Tamandua tetradactyla: one gene and its partner. The protein of the gene in region 1 interacts with the protein of each later gene in a pairwise test. Links are inferred from orthologs where the notes say so. Each region holds a gene or a part of one and is shown on either strand. Other genes may lie near its edges.

What was found.
Region 2: the proteins of CASP10 (region 1) and RIOK3 interact in binary tests that used the Homo sapiens proteins (3 or more experiments, as listed by UniProt). The link is inferred for Tamandua tetradactyla from reciprocal best matches to the Homo sapiens genes CASP10 and RIOK3.

Annotation. Positions count from the first base shown.
Region 1 is NC_135329.1:175,723,430-175,730,699, forward strand, and holds the start of CASP10 (caspase-10), read left to right. Parts: upstream 1-4,190; 5' UTR 4,191-4,381; intron 4,382-5,711; 5' UTR 5,712-5,718; coding exon 5,719-6,071; intron 6,072-7,270. UniProt on the Homo sapiens protein: Involved in the activation cascade of caspases responsible for apoptosis execution. Recruited to both Fas- and TNFR-1 receptors in a FADD dependent manner. May participate in the granzyme B apoptotic pathways.
Region 2 is NC_135344.1:60,013,104-60,020,084, reverse strand, and holds the start of RIOK3 (serine/threonine-protein kinase RIO3), read left to right. Parts: upstream 1-3,882; 5' UTR 3,883-4,068; coding exon 4,069-4,131; intron 4,132-6,981.

The DNA of each region.
Region 1 (7,270 bases):
GAAAATGACAAGTGCTGGAGAGGATGCGGTGAAAGAGGCACACTTATCCACTGTTGGAGGGAATGTCAAATGGTGCAACCACTGTGGAAGGCAGTTTGGCGGTTCCTCAAAAAGCTGAATATAGAATTGCCATACGACCCAGCAATACCATTGCTGGGAATCTACTCAAAGGAATTAAGGGCAAAAACTCAAATGGACATTTGCACACCAATGTTTATAGCAGCGTTATTTACAATTGCAAAGAAATGGAAACAGCCAAAATGTCCATCAACAGACGAGTGGCTAAACAAACTGTGGTATATACATACGATGGAATATTATGCAGCTTTAAGACAGAATAAACTTATGAAGCATGTAATAACATGGATGGACCTAGAGAACATTATGCTGAGTGAGTCTAGCCAAAAACTAAAAGACAAATACTATATGGTCCCAATGATGTGAATCGACATTCGAGAATAAACTTGGAATATGTCATTGGTAACAGAGTTCAGCAGGAGTTAGAAACAGGGTAAGATAATGGGTAATTGGAGCTGAGGGGATACAGACTGTGCAACAGGACTAGATACAAAAACTCAAAAATGGACAGCACAATAATACCTAATTGTAAAGTAATCATGTTAAAACACTGAATGAAGCTGCATCCGAGCTATAGGTTTTTGTTTTGTTTTGTTTTGTTCTTACTATTATTACTTTTATTTTTTTTCTCTATATTAACATTCTATATCTTTTTCGGTTGTGTTGCTAGTTCTTCTAAACCGATGCAAATGTACTAAAAAACGATGATCATGCATCTATGTGATGATGTTAAGAATTACTGATTGCATATGTAGAATGGTATGATTTCTAAATGTTGGGTTAATTTCTTTTTTTCCGTTAATTAATAAAAAAAAAAGAATATATGCAAAGGTTTATCTATAAAAATACCAGTGCAGAATTGTTCACAATAGCAAAAATCAGAAATTCACTAATAATTGGAAATTGGCTAAGTAAACTAAGGTACAACTATATAAGAGAATATCACTCAGCCACTAAACATCATGTTTTCAAAGACTATTTAATGATACGAAGAGAAGTGAAAAAAGCCTTGTACAGCATAATCTGATTTTTGGAAAATAATATATACAGAGAAACGTGAAAGGATATACACCAAAATGTTAACAGTTATAGGACTATAGATGACTGTGTGCATTTATGTTTTCTCATTCTCCTACATTAAATATTGGAAGTTATCTGCCTCCCCTCTTTTCCCTACTTTTGTAATTAGAAAAGAGAAATCTTAAAGTAAAATTAGTGTGTAGTTATAGTGAACACCAAATGGGCCATACTTTGCTTGTCTAGCTGCAATCTCCTGCCAGTTCACTATCCAGAAATCTTCCCTGAGACCCTTACCAGATAGTCTTCTTCAGAATTTAGCTTCACTATGCTCCCATAAACCCAGATAAGACTGATTCTGGGAAGGTCTGGAGTGGGTGGATAAAGATTGTGGGGGAGGGGGGAGTGTGGTGGGGGTGGAGTGCTAGTTGGTCCTGGAAATTGGGACGGACAGTGTGGGGAGTCAAAAGAACCACCACTTATGAACTAAGGGGTGGAGAGGAAGATTTATTGCACCAGTTCTTCAGCTCATACACACGTGCCACGCCCTTCACTATGTCAATTCTTTAGTTCTCGTGTCCTTGTTCTTGAAAAACCTCCCTGAACAGAGGTTGGGGAACTTTCCAGCACCACAGAGAACTCGCCCGCAACCCCCTGGGTGAGAAATCCTTCTTCCCTACCCCCACCCCAGCAGAGGAGAACTGTATAAAAGGAGAAGTAGCCAGATATTTCCTGGCTATGACCCCCGCAATGGCAGCTGCTCACCACTACAAAAAGCTATAAAGGTTCTGATTGGTCCTTCACATGGACCCACATGACCCACACAGCAACCAATCAGGGAAGAGGCTGTTCGAAACGTTTATTCTATTTGCTATCAACTCACTATTAGCACAGTCTCAGTAATTGGGTTCTAAATGAGAGGAAGTGTGACAAAGCAAAACAAAATAAAAAATAATGAGAATAAATGTTAGGAAGTGTGAAATGCTGAATACAAATATCTACACAAACACAATCTCATCTTTGTAACTTGGCTCAAGCCTTTTCCTTGAGTATGAGGAATACTAGGACAAAGTTTAGTTTTTTTTCTTTGTGTCTCTATTGTACCTCTACCTTAATTCAAATACTTCCTCGTTCAACGAGCCTTTCCAGGCATCCCAGTCTAGATTCACCCATAGCTATGTGGGGGCTCCTTGTGGCACGTCCCCACACCCTACCCAGTGATGCAGATAATACATTGTGGTCCGGGGGTACAGGCAGCAACAACCTTGGGATCAAGAACATAGGAATTGGAGTCAGATATCCCTGGGTTTGAGTCCTGACTTCTCACCTCTTCCAAGCTTTGTGCTAGTGGCATGATGCTTTGTCTCTCTGAATCTCAGTTTTCTCTCCTGTAGGATGTGGATAATAATGTCAATCTTCAGAGTTATTGTGGGAGTTAATCAAAGCAGATGGGGCCAAGAAATGGAGTTGGCATAATTATAACTGAAGGCAGGCACTGTGTTTTATTCATTTTTGCTTTCCCATTGTGCCCATTTCATTGCTTTATACATAGGAAGTACTTGCTGACTACTTCATAAAATTAAATAAAAGTTGAGAGAGTTAATGTACTTTACGAACAGGATAAGAAGTGACAGTATCACTAAATTGCCTCCCTAAATGTTGCCGAAGGAATTAAATATGCATAAATGAACAACTGACCAAGACAAAAAAAGGGGCTTGTCTTTTTAAATGTGGAGGTTCTCTGGAGGATGCCTAGAATGCGGAAATGTGTTTAGCACTTCGGTTAATCAAAGCATCTTTCATTCAGTTTGCTTTTTTCAGAGATCAAACAACTTTCTAAGATTGTACTTCTTCCCAGAACTCTGTGTATTTGAATTGGCTTAATCATAGTGTAGTGACTTAAAGCATGGACTCAAAAACCATACTACCTCACTCAAATCTTGGCTTTGCTGTTAGCTAGCTGAGTGACCTTGGGTAAATAAACCTCTCGGTGCCTTAGTTTCCACATCTTAAAGCAGGGATCATAGTAATAGTTTACCTTTTAGGGTTGTTAGGATGATTAAATGAGTAAATATTTGCAAATACTTAGTACCTGGCTCATGGTACATGTGATATTATTATTATTATTATTGGAAATAATATCTTCCAAGTCTCTCTTTCCTGCTGAACTGAATGTACCATAAAGACAGACTTCATCAGTTTTGTCTACTGTAAATTGATAAATGTTTTAGACCCTTGGAATTACCTCCAAAAAAAAAGGCTTGTAATCCAGCTCCCACCTCCCTGCTTTTTGACTTTTAAAACTTTAATTTTTTGTAGAGCTGTGCTCCAGTAGCCATGTTTCTTGAAGATGATTGTATAATGATATAGCTTTCACAATGTGACTGTGTGATTGTGAAAACCTTGTGTCTGATGCTTTTATCTACCTTATCAACAGATGAATAAAACATATGGAATAAAGATGAATAATAGGGGGAACAAACGTAAATGTAAATTTAGAGTGTAATGCTGATGATAGGTGAGGGGGAGGGGTGGGGTATGGCATGTACGAATTTTTTTCTGTTTCCTTTTTATTTCTTTTTCTGAATAGATGCAAATGTTCTAAGAAATGATCATGATAATGATGATGAATATGCAACTATGTTGTGAATTAGTGATTATATATGTAGAATGGAATGATCCGGAGTCACGAATATTTGCATTTGTTAGGTGTTTTTTGGTATTTAAAAAAAATTTTTTTAATTAATTAAAAAAACATTTTTTTGTACATGAACCTTGAGCTTTTTGGATTTTGTTTTATTTTACAGGTAAAGTGACTTTGGAAAGGAAATAGTTGGAACAATTAATACTTCCCTTTTGGACTATCTGAGGGGACTGTGATCTGAGAGAAAGCCTGGAACACTTAATGACTATCAGGAGTTCATTTCTAGGAGCCTTTTGCTTTACCTGGGAAAGTTCTGAACGCTACAATGGAAAAGAAAGTTGTGAATTTGCCTTTAGGAGACGCTGTTTGTCAGTGTTACCCCAACCAACCTCGGAAAAGGGGAGGGAAAAGACAGGCGATGATGACATCAGCAGGAAATTAATATCAGGTTACCCAAACCCCAAACCAGAAGATCCAGTTTTTTCTTGCACAGCTAGCAACAAGTCTTCAGTTCTCTTCCCGCGCAAATGGGAGCTTCCTTCGAACTTGGAGCACACGGAGGATTCTAATTCCTTTAAAAATTTCAGGCATTTTTTCCAAGAACTACTTATCTCTGGAAGATTCGTGGAATTTGGTCTAAAGGTATGTAACACCCTCTCCCTGTCCTGCCCCCTTCCCCCCAACCCCAATCCTCCACTGCCTGGGGTCTCGCTTCATGTTGTAGCTTATAAAAACTTGTAAAAACTTGTCAGCAATGGCACTGTTCCTGCCTGCGTTTATTTGCTGTGCCAGGGAAAATGAAAGTCAAAACACACACACATACACAAAACAGGGAGTCTCCAACATGGCTTTTTACTGGCAGGAATATGCATATGCTGATCCACAATTGGAGACCAAGTTTAGGAGCTTCATTAAGTCAAGAGATCAGAATCTTCAGGAAAATGCAAGGCAAATATATGACGCGTTAGATACGAATTATTTGATGATTCCATCAAATCATGGCTACCAGAAGGGAGAACCTCACAAATGATCCTATGAAAAATGGCATTTTTTTTCCTAACAACAAAATTAATATATGTTCATTGCATAAAATTTGAGAACTCAGACAAGAGCCAAGAAAAAAAATGTATATTATCTATAGCTATACTTCCTTGATATAACCACTCTATTATTTTTTCTTTTGCTATATTGCCCTTCCTTTAGAAAGTAGTTTTCTGTTTCTAAAAATAGCCATCTTGCATAGTGAATATATACCTCCAAGTTCTTACAGAATGAATGATATAATCGTGAAAAATTTCATCAGTGCTTTGCTCATCTGATTAGAATAAAATTTAGTGTAGAGAATACCATAGTTTATTAACCCATTAGGTGTAAACATGGACTTGGGTCATTTGTAACTTCCTACGCTGATGTTTAAAGCTACCCTTTCTTCCAGGGCCTAGGATTATGGCTTCCATTTCTGCCCTGTTCTGGTTAACACTCTGAAGCTCAGGATATAACAATGCTCCCCCAACGTCACCGCCTTGTCCTTGGATTGTTGGGCATTTCGGAAGGATAAACCCTCAGATTTTTTTTCTTTATTTCTAAAGTTTAAAACATAAGGCCAAGTGTTATTTCTTGGAAATGAATTTGGGGCCCAAGAGCTCCTGCTGGGTTACCGGCCCCAGAGAGATGAGGCCTCCTGATGAACTAGCACTGGTGATATTTTGATTTGGAGAGAAATCAGGATAAACCAAATTAGAATAAAACTTCTTCCACAACTACTGAAAGTTATTGTGCAAGCTCATATTGGGGTAGAGTGTTCTGGGCTGTTGGTATTTGCAGTGGGTCTTACAGTCATTTTTTATTTTCCAGCACTTCTAAGAAAATCTAATGCCCAGAACCGAGGAGGCCAGGACTGGGGGAGGGCCTGGAGGGTTGGGGTTCAGTGGGTCCTCTCTCGCTGACTCCCTGCCCCACCTCTCTCCTTCAGGCTGCTCATGACAACTCAAGTTCAAGTTCCAGATCTGGGCACCGGTTGGGAGGAAAACTGTAGCATGAACTTTCGCCGGACACTCCTGGTTATTGATGAAAACCTAGGGGTCCAAGATGTGGAGGCCCTCAAGTTTCTCTGCAGAGACCGCCTCTCCCACAAGAAGCTAGAGGAGTGCCATTCAGCCTTTGAGATTTTTGATCAGCTCCTGATAGAGGACCAGCTGAGTGAGGAAGAGCCTTTCCTGCTTGCCGAACTCCTGTACACCAGCAAGCAGAAATCGCTGCTGAAGCACCTCGGGTACACCAAGGAGCAAGTGCAGAGTTTGCTGCCCACTCAAAGGAAGATCTCTTTGTTCAGGTGAGGAGAGGTCTGTGATCAAGATGGGAAGGATTTCCCTTCTCCTCTCCTACTTCATCCTGCAAATAACCAGTGTTCGTTCAAACCATTGGGCCTTGATGACAGAATGATTCTAAGCCAGAAAGTTTCTTAGCTTCAGGTGCAAATGAGATGAAAGATTGGTAGGTGAGCAGAGCTTCAAAACCAGCCTGGGGCTGGAGGTGGCTTCTCTTTGTGTTTCTCACTGTCAGGTGCCGCTCACCTCTGTGGAGCCGAGCCTGCTGCTTCTCCTGTCCCCTTGCACTCAATTCTTCCTCCTGTGTTCCCTGAGGTTTCTCCCTCCAACTTGGGGCCTTGGGAAGAGAGTAATGCCTACCTTGAGCCAAATAAGCAAAAAAGGAGCTGTGCCTCTGGGGTAGAGAGGGAAAGCGTTCATGTGATGTCCAGTTATAGATTTTTTAAATACATTTTTTGGGTGGAAGAAACCCAGAGAGGCAAATGCAGGCATCATGTGTCAGACCTTACATAACACTATTTGAAGTTGTTCTCTGATGTAGCGCCCGCATCAGAGAGCCTCACAAGTGTATTTTATTGGCTCTGGGCTATTGGAATCCTTCAGGCCTTAACATCTGAACAGCTGGCTCCAAGAACCAGGTCTGCACTAGGGCAGAGAAGGGGATCAAGTAGGTCAGAAGTCAGTATTTCCTCTCGGCTGGTTAAACCTGAGGACAGTCTCTGATATACAGAAGTGTTAGTGTGTAAATGAAATATTCAGTTTTTCTGATTGTGGACTGTGATGCCTAATTTCATGTGTGAACACCGACTAACACATCGATGATGTGAAGAGCCAGGGGCTTGTGTGGTTCCTTTCCTTTTTCAATGGTGGAGTTTATATTGGCTGGGATCAGGTCCTCTCTGGGGAAGGTCTGTAAAAACACCTGCCTTTTTTAGAATGGAGTCAGGAGAAGGGAAAGGTTGTCGAATTGTATTTTACCCCTTCTCTATGTGATGGAAAACAGCACTAGACTTGGAATCAGAAGGCCTGCCTCTATTGCTTACTCTGTTATCTTGAGTCCCTTAGAGACTTGATGCTTTAGTTTTTGTGCCTGTAAATGGGGGTAATAATTGTCTAATCACAGGGTCGAGATCATTCAAAGGAGAGAGAATGCTTGTCCAAGCGCTTGGCTTACTGGGATGTCCTCTGCAAGCGTGGGGTTTTA
Region 2 (6,981 bases), on another chromosome or scaffold:
GAGGAAAGGCAGCTAACTTTCCACTGAGGTTCTTTCTTATTTGGAAGGCACAGGATGGTCTCTGCTGGTCTTTTCTCAAGGCCCCTGGGTTTCAGCAACTTTCCCCCGGGGTGACTTCTTTCTGCATCTCCAAAGGCTTGGGCTGAGCTGCAAGTGCTGAGATGAGGAATGCCGAGTTGCTTAGGCTGTGCTACATTGCGCTCTCTCATTTAAGCACCAGCCAATTAAGTCAAACATCACTTATTGCAGCAGACACGCCTCCTAGCTGACTGCAGATGTAATTGGCAACAGATGAGGTTCACCTACCGTTGGCTTATGTCCGCAGCAACAAGATTAGGTATGCTCACCTGGCCAAGTTGACAACTGAATCTAACTAACAGCCCCCCCACCCAAAAAAAAATCAATTGGCCAAAGAGATGGAAATAGCCCAAATGTCCTTTAGCAGAACAAGTGGCTAAACAAGCTGTGGTATGTACAAACAATGGAATACCACACAGCTGTAAGACAGAATAAAGTCATGAAGCATGTAACAATGTGGATGGACCTTGAGGACATTATGCTGAGTGAAATTGGCCAGAAACAAAAGGAAAAATACTGTATGGTGTCACTAATATGAACTAATATTAATAAGTGAAATTTGAGAGTTGAAGTTAAGAACACAGGTTATCAGGAGATAGAAATAGGGTAGAGATTGGGCATTTGGTGCTGAAGGAATACAGATTGTATAACAGAATTGACTGTAAAAATTCAGAAATGGATGGCACAATAGTACCTGATGGCATCACAATAATATAATTGTAAGTTTTGATATGTTGTGAAACAATGGATAACAGAGAATTAAATATCAAGAACATTAGATCATGGAATTATTGGATACAGAGTAAAGATATGTATATCTCAATTATTTAAAGATATGAAATTGAAAATATGAGAAAATGACAAGACGACATGAAAAGGAGTCAGAGTTTTAAAAGAGGAAAATTTTGAACTTATAGAGATAAAAAGTAGAATAATTGCAGTTAAAAATTTAATAGACAAGTTAAAGAGCATACTAGAATAGCTGACAAAATAATTAGTGAGCTGGAAGTTATATTTGACACCTAGCACACAGCACAGAAAGACAAATACATGGAAAATATGAAAAAATAGTTTAGGATCATGGAGGATAGCGTAAGAAGGCCCAACAGACATCTAATTTGACCTTATAAAAAAAGACTAGAAAGAATATGAGAGGCAATTTCCTCCCTATCTAATCTTTTTTTTCTTACATAGGCAGGCACCAGGAATTGAACCCGGGTCCTCTGGGATGGCAGGCAAGCGTTCTTGCCTGCTGAGCCACTGTGGGCCGCCCCTCCCTATCTAATTTAAGGCATGAATCCTCAGATACAATAAGGCCAATAAATCCTGAGCAGACTGAATGAAAAGAAATATATTCTCAGGCATATTTATATATTCAAATATACTTTTAATCTAATATTTTCCTTTTATTTATCCTTTATAGTACGTTTAGAGCATAATGTTGATTTTGTAAAGTATTTATGCAGTAAAGGAAGCAAAACAAAATATTTGTGATTAAAAATGGCAATGGGAAAAAGGTCTAAAATATGGGCAAAGATTTAAGTCAAAATATAATAACTAGCATTTTTATAATGCTAAAAAATATTTGAACATTAAAGCCTAGAAATAAAAACTGTTTAAGTAAATTTTGGTGCATCCATACATTAGAATATTGTTCGGCCACTCTAAATAATGTTTATGAAAAGTTTGTCATGGCATGGGAGATGTATGTGACATAATGACAAATTAAAAAATTGGAATTCAAAAAATAAATGGCAATAGGTTGGATAGAGTTAAGAACCCCGAGTCCAGACTGAAACTTATTCAACCATATCCATAACATTCCACTACAGAAACTTTATGAAAAATCTTAGTAATCACTAAACAAAGAATTTCCCTGCCTTTGTTCTTAGTCTTACATAGTTCCTTTCTCCTAAGGTAGCTTTATAGCTTCTCTCCAACTTTCATGGCCTAGTCAAGTGCACTGCCTCCAGCAGCCTTTCCATCTCACCAACCCAGGGTGAAACCTGAAAGGTTTATTGTCTATAGCTTTCATTGGGCAACTTATCATACACTGTTTTGAGACAGAATTGTTGTATTATTATTTAAAGTTATTGTATGAATATGTTACCTCTTCAACTGTAATCTCATAGTTTTTGTTTCTCCCACAGATTTTTAGGGGCATCTGAGGCAGCCAATACATATTTGTGGATTGCCTGAAATACTACTTGCAAAATAGACTTAAGTAATTGCAATTTTAAAGACTAAAGAGCCTTATTTCTGTTCTCTTTAGAAACTGAAATAGAGGCTGATTCTATGTGTTTGGGCAGTGCAAATTCTAGAATTTTTTTGTCTCTGCTAGGTACCAGTGAGCTGATCAAAAAGGAAGTAAAAGCCATAACAAAACCCTTTCAACATTGTTCTTATCTCAAATCACAGCAAATGGCCATTTTTTTCCATTCAAGGACTGAATGTCAAATCACATGCAACTAAATGCTGTTAGTGATAAACCACACTTTTTCTGTTAATAACATTTGTAAATGTGTATATTTGATGGCATCAGATATATAACTTTCAACATGTGTTTGAAAATTACCACTAAAATTATTAACCCACAAACACTGTGCCAACCTGGACCCTCGACCTGTGGTGAATAAAACTTCCCTTGTCTCTACAGCTTGCCGTCTCTACTTCCTTGCCCCAAGGAAAATGTAGTTTCCTTTGAGACTACTCATCTTCCTTCAGTTTCCATGACAGAGAATAAGGGTCAGTATTCTTCTCTTTCTCTCCAGTGGAACTCCCAAAATAATATTCCCACCCCTCAGGTAAATACATCTCTTCTTGAGTGTCTGGTCATCCCCTCATAACACTCCCCAAGCTCTTTCTCACCATATATGGATATCAATTGTCAAATGTAAGTCTGTAGCCTATTATGTAGCTATAGTTTTGCTTTATTTTAATCTAGATTTTTTTTTAAGGATTCAGAACGTCTGATCTAGAATATGAAGGAGACAGGGTGGTAAGCTAATGCAAATCAAGGTCATTGTCCCAGAGATCTCAAGTATGGACAGTTAGGGCCCTGGCTGAGAACTGCAATTTGGGGAGGTCAGTGCGATTCCTGTAATGTCTGAATAGTCAGCACATGGGCAGTCCTGGGACCCAGACTGCCTGGGTTTGCTACTTATTCCCTCTCATTGCCTGGGTTTCATTGTCAGTAAAGTGGAGGTAATGATAGAATTTACCCCTCAGGGTTATTCTGAGGATTAAACGAGTTAATAAAATACTCTGAGCAGTGCTTGGCACACAGCAAGGGAAATGTAAGTCTTGGCTGTTTTCGTACTGTCTCAACAATCTCCCTATAAAATACAGAATCAAAACGTTTATTATTGTTCAGTCCGTTTTTTCACTCAATGTTATATGACATGTTTTATAAATTTCACTTTCCGACCTCGCCCCTAAAAGGCAACTACACTAACAACAAAATCCGATAGTCGTCTTCAGTCCCTTTCCCTTCTCCAAACCTGCCATTTTCGGTCTCCCACATCATCCCAGCTTAGAATTAACTAGTGAAATAATGAATGACCAGAGCTCATTTGTTTGCTTATAGCCCACGTCGTCTAATCTAGTTGAACTAGATCCAGCGGCTATCTCTGGGCTGTCCGGGAGGAGGAGGAGGAGGCCGGACACAGGGCAGGGACCCGGGTAGAGAAGCCACACCCCTTCCCCCCGGCCCCTGCCGAGCAGTGCAAGGGTGGCCGGAAGTGCGGCGCGCCGGGGTGGGGAAAGGTGACTTGAGAGTCAAGCAGCCAATCAGAAACGAGTGTCCCACCGGTGAAGGCGGAAGGGAAGTGGTCTGGTTCCGGACGCCGCGGCTCGCGCCGCCATCTGTCATCTCAGCTCCGGCACCAGCAGCCCCTCGCCCCTGCCCCGCCGCCTGTCTCCTCCTCGGCCGACTCTGCTTCCCGCCCTTCCACCTCTGTGCCCGGTTCTTGTCGCTGGCTTCTTCCCCCCATGGATCTGGTCGGAGTGGCATCCCCTGAGCCCGGGCCCGCAGCGGCCTGGGGACCCAGCAAGGTGAGTGGGGTCGGGTTTGACGTACCTGCCCTATTCACCTGGGATGGTTCTTTGCCGCAGATCCTGGAAAGGGCTCCCCAGGCGACTGGGGAAGTTGTAGGACTGACCCGGACTACCTTAGAGAGGGGAGAAGCGGCTGCCAGGCCAGCATTGAAGTCGGAGTGGGAAGGACTGGGGTCTGAAACTCCCACAGGCCACTCTGGGTGTCCTTGATCCTTCTTTAGTTCTACACCTTGCGTTTTGAATCTCTGTACTATGTGTTGAGCAGTCCTCGCCAACATAAAGCAGTCCTCGCCAACAGATATTTATGTTTGAGGAAAAACAAGCATATCTTGTTTTTCACGGGCCAAATGAGTCAGCGCAATAATACAAAAAAAAAAAAAAAAAAAAAAAAAGTTGGGGCGAAAGATGGTTTAGGAAGCTGTCTCCTTAACTTGACAAGTGTGGTTATGCCTGTTGGTAATTTGTTTTGTAAGTAGTAAAAGATAAAACCAGGCACACCCTCCCTTCCCCTCACGCTAATTCTCAGTCGTTCACTAAATACTGTGAAACGGTTACGAATCCAGTTATCTGCCTGTGCTTTAACATTTAAAACTTTTTCCCAGAATGGCAAAAGGAAAACATTTATTTTACATTTGATCGGTGGCTTTCAGGCTCCTCCTTTCCATGAACTTTTGTTGGAAAAATGAAGACTCTTCTGCCACTTTATTGAGGGTTTGCTTGAGACCAAAAGCACTTTGACTGGGATTTTGTGTTCCTTAAATTATGATTGTGAAGGAATCACTCTTTTCGCTTCGTAATTGTTCTTTAGGTGCTAACACAGAAATTAATCTTACTGGATCTTCAGGCTAGGTCTTAACAGAAAAGGTATGTGTGTGGGGGAGATAATTAACTATTAAATAAAGGAAAATTAATTTTATATAAGTTCTTATTCTGTAGATAACTTTAGGGAGAATCTAAGATGTTCCATTGGCAAATTGGTTGCATCTGCAAGTGATTTTTTTAAAACTTTTATTGTAAGGTATGACATTTATACAAAGCAAAGCAATAAAAAAGCAATAGTTTTCAAAACACTCTTCAACAAGTAATTACAGGACAGATCCCAGAGTTTGTCATGGGCTACCATACAATCTTCTCATATTTTTTTTCTTTCTAGCTGTTCCAGAATATAGGAGGCTAGAAGGCTTAAATTTTTTTTATCATCGCAGTCACCTTTTTTTCCTTTTTTTTTTTTTTTTTTTTTGTGAAAAATAACATACGGACAAAAAAGCTATAAATTTCAAAACACAGCACCATAATTAGTTGTAGAACATACTTCAGAGTTTGACATGGGTTACAATTCCACAGTTTTAGGTTTTTGCTTCTAGCTGCTCTAAGACACTGGAGACTAAAAGAAATATCAATTTAGTGATTCAGCATTCAAATTCATTTGTTAAATTCTATCTTCACTGTATAACTCAACCATCACCTTTGATCTTTCCATCCCTCTCTTTAGGGGTGTTTGGGCTATGGCCATTCTAAATTTCTCATGTTGGAAGGGTCTCACTAATATGGGGTAGGGAGATGGAACTATCTGATGTTCTGGAGAAGCTAGGCCCTCTAGGTTTCAGGACTTATCTGGACCAGGGACTCATCTGGAGGTTGTAGGTTTCTGGAAAGTTACTGTAGTGCATGGAACCCTTGTGGGATCTTATATATTGCCCTAGGTGTTCTTTAGGATTGGCTGGGATGGTCCTGGTTGGGGTTTGGCCGGTTAGAATAGATAGCAAGGTCTAAATGAAGCTTGCATAAGAGCAACCTCCAGAGTAGCCTCTTGACTCCATTTGCCCTCTCTCTGCCACTGATACTATATTAGCTACACTTCTTTTCCTCCTTTTGGTCAGGATGGAATTGTTGATCCATGGTGCCAGGGCTGGATTCATCCCTGGAAGTCATCTCCCATGTCGCCAGGGATATCATGTCCCACAAAGGGGGGAGAGCAATGATTTCACTTGGAGAATTGGGCTTAGAGAGACTGAGGCCACATCTGAGCAACAAAAGAGGTCCTCCAGAAGTAACTCTTAGGCATGTCTATAGGTAGTCTAAGCTTCTTTGCTACCTACAGAAGCTTCACCAGAGTAAGCCTCAGGATTGAGGGTATGGCCTATTGATTTGGGTATCCCTAAAGTTTGACATAGTATCAGGGGATTCCCTGATGATAAAATTTAATTGTTTCATATCCTTTCTCCCATCCCTCAAGGGACTTTCATCTGCAAGTGATTTTTGTGTATTTTTTTCTGTGAAAGCCCTGTTTTAAGGTTAAGATTGACAGTCATAGGACTGGTACTGGTAAATATATACTCTACATTTAAAATTCCTCAAGTTAAGCATCTATAAAGTCTGATAAAATTGTCAAATGGGACAAACTGCTCAGGATACTTCCTAAACACACAACAAATTTCACTTAAGAATCAAATTCATTAGTATAATATTTGATATCATTTATATTCTCATTTAAGGATACAGCATAAAAACTGTCAAATTCCATTTTCATCATTCAACAAATAAGATGGTCTTGGGGTTTATTGATGTCATACTGGGAAGATACCATTTTGACAGGCAAAATAATTAGAGGCTGCAAGTATCACTTAATCCTTTCCTTCACTGAATTAAAGGAAGACCAAAGTAATTAACGAAGCCTGCATGGAGGAGGTAGGGATTTGAGGAAGGTCTTGAAAAATGGAGAGAATATTACCAGTTATTCTCAAATTTTCTGGCCTTGCACTATTAAAATTATTGATAACCCCAAATAACTTTTGTTTATGTAAGACATAGCTATTGATATTTATCATATTAGAAATTAAAACTGAG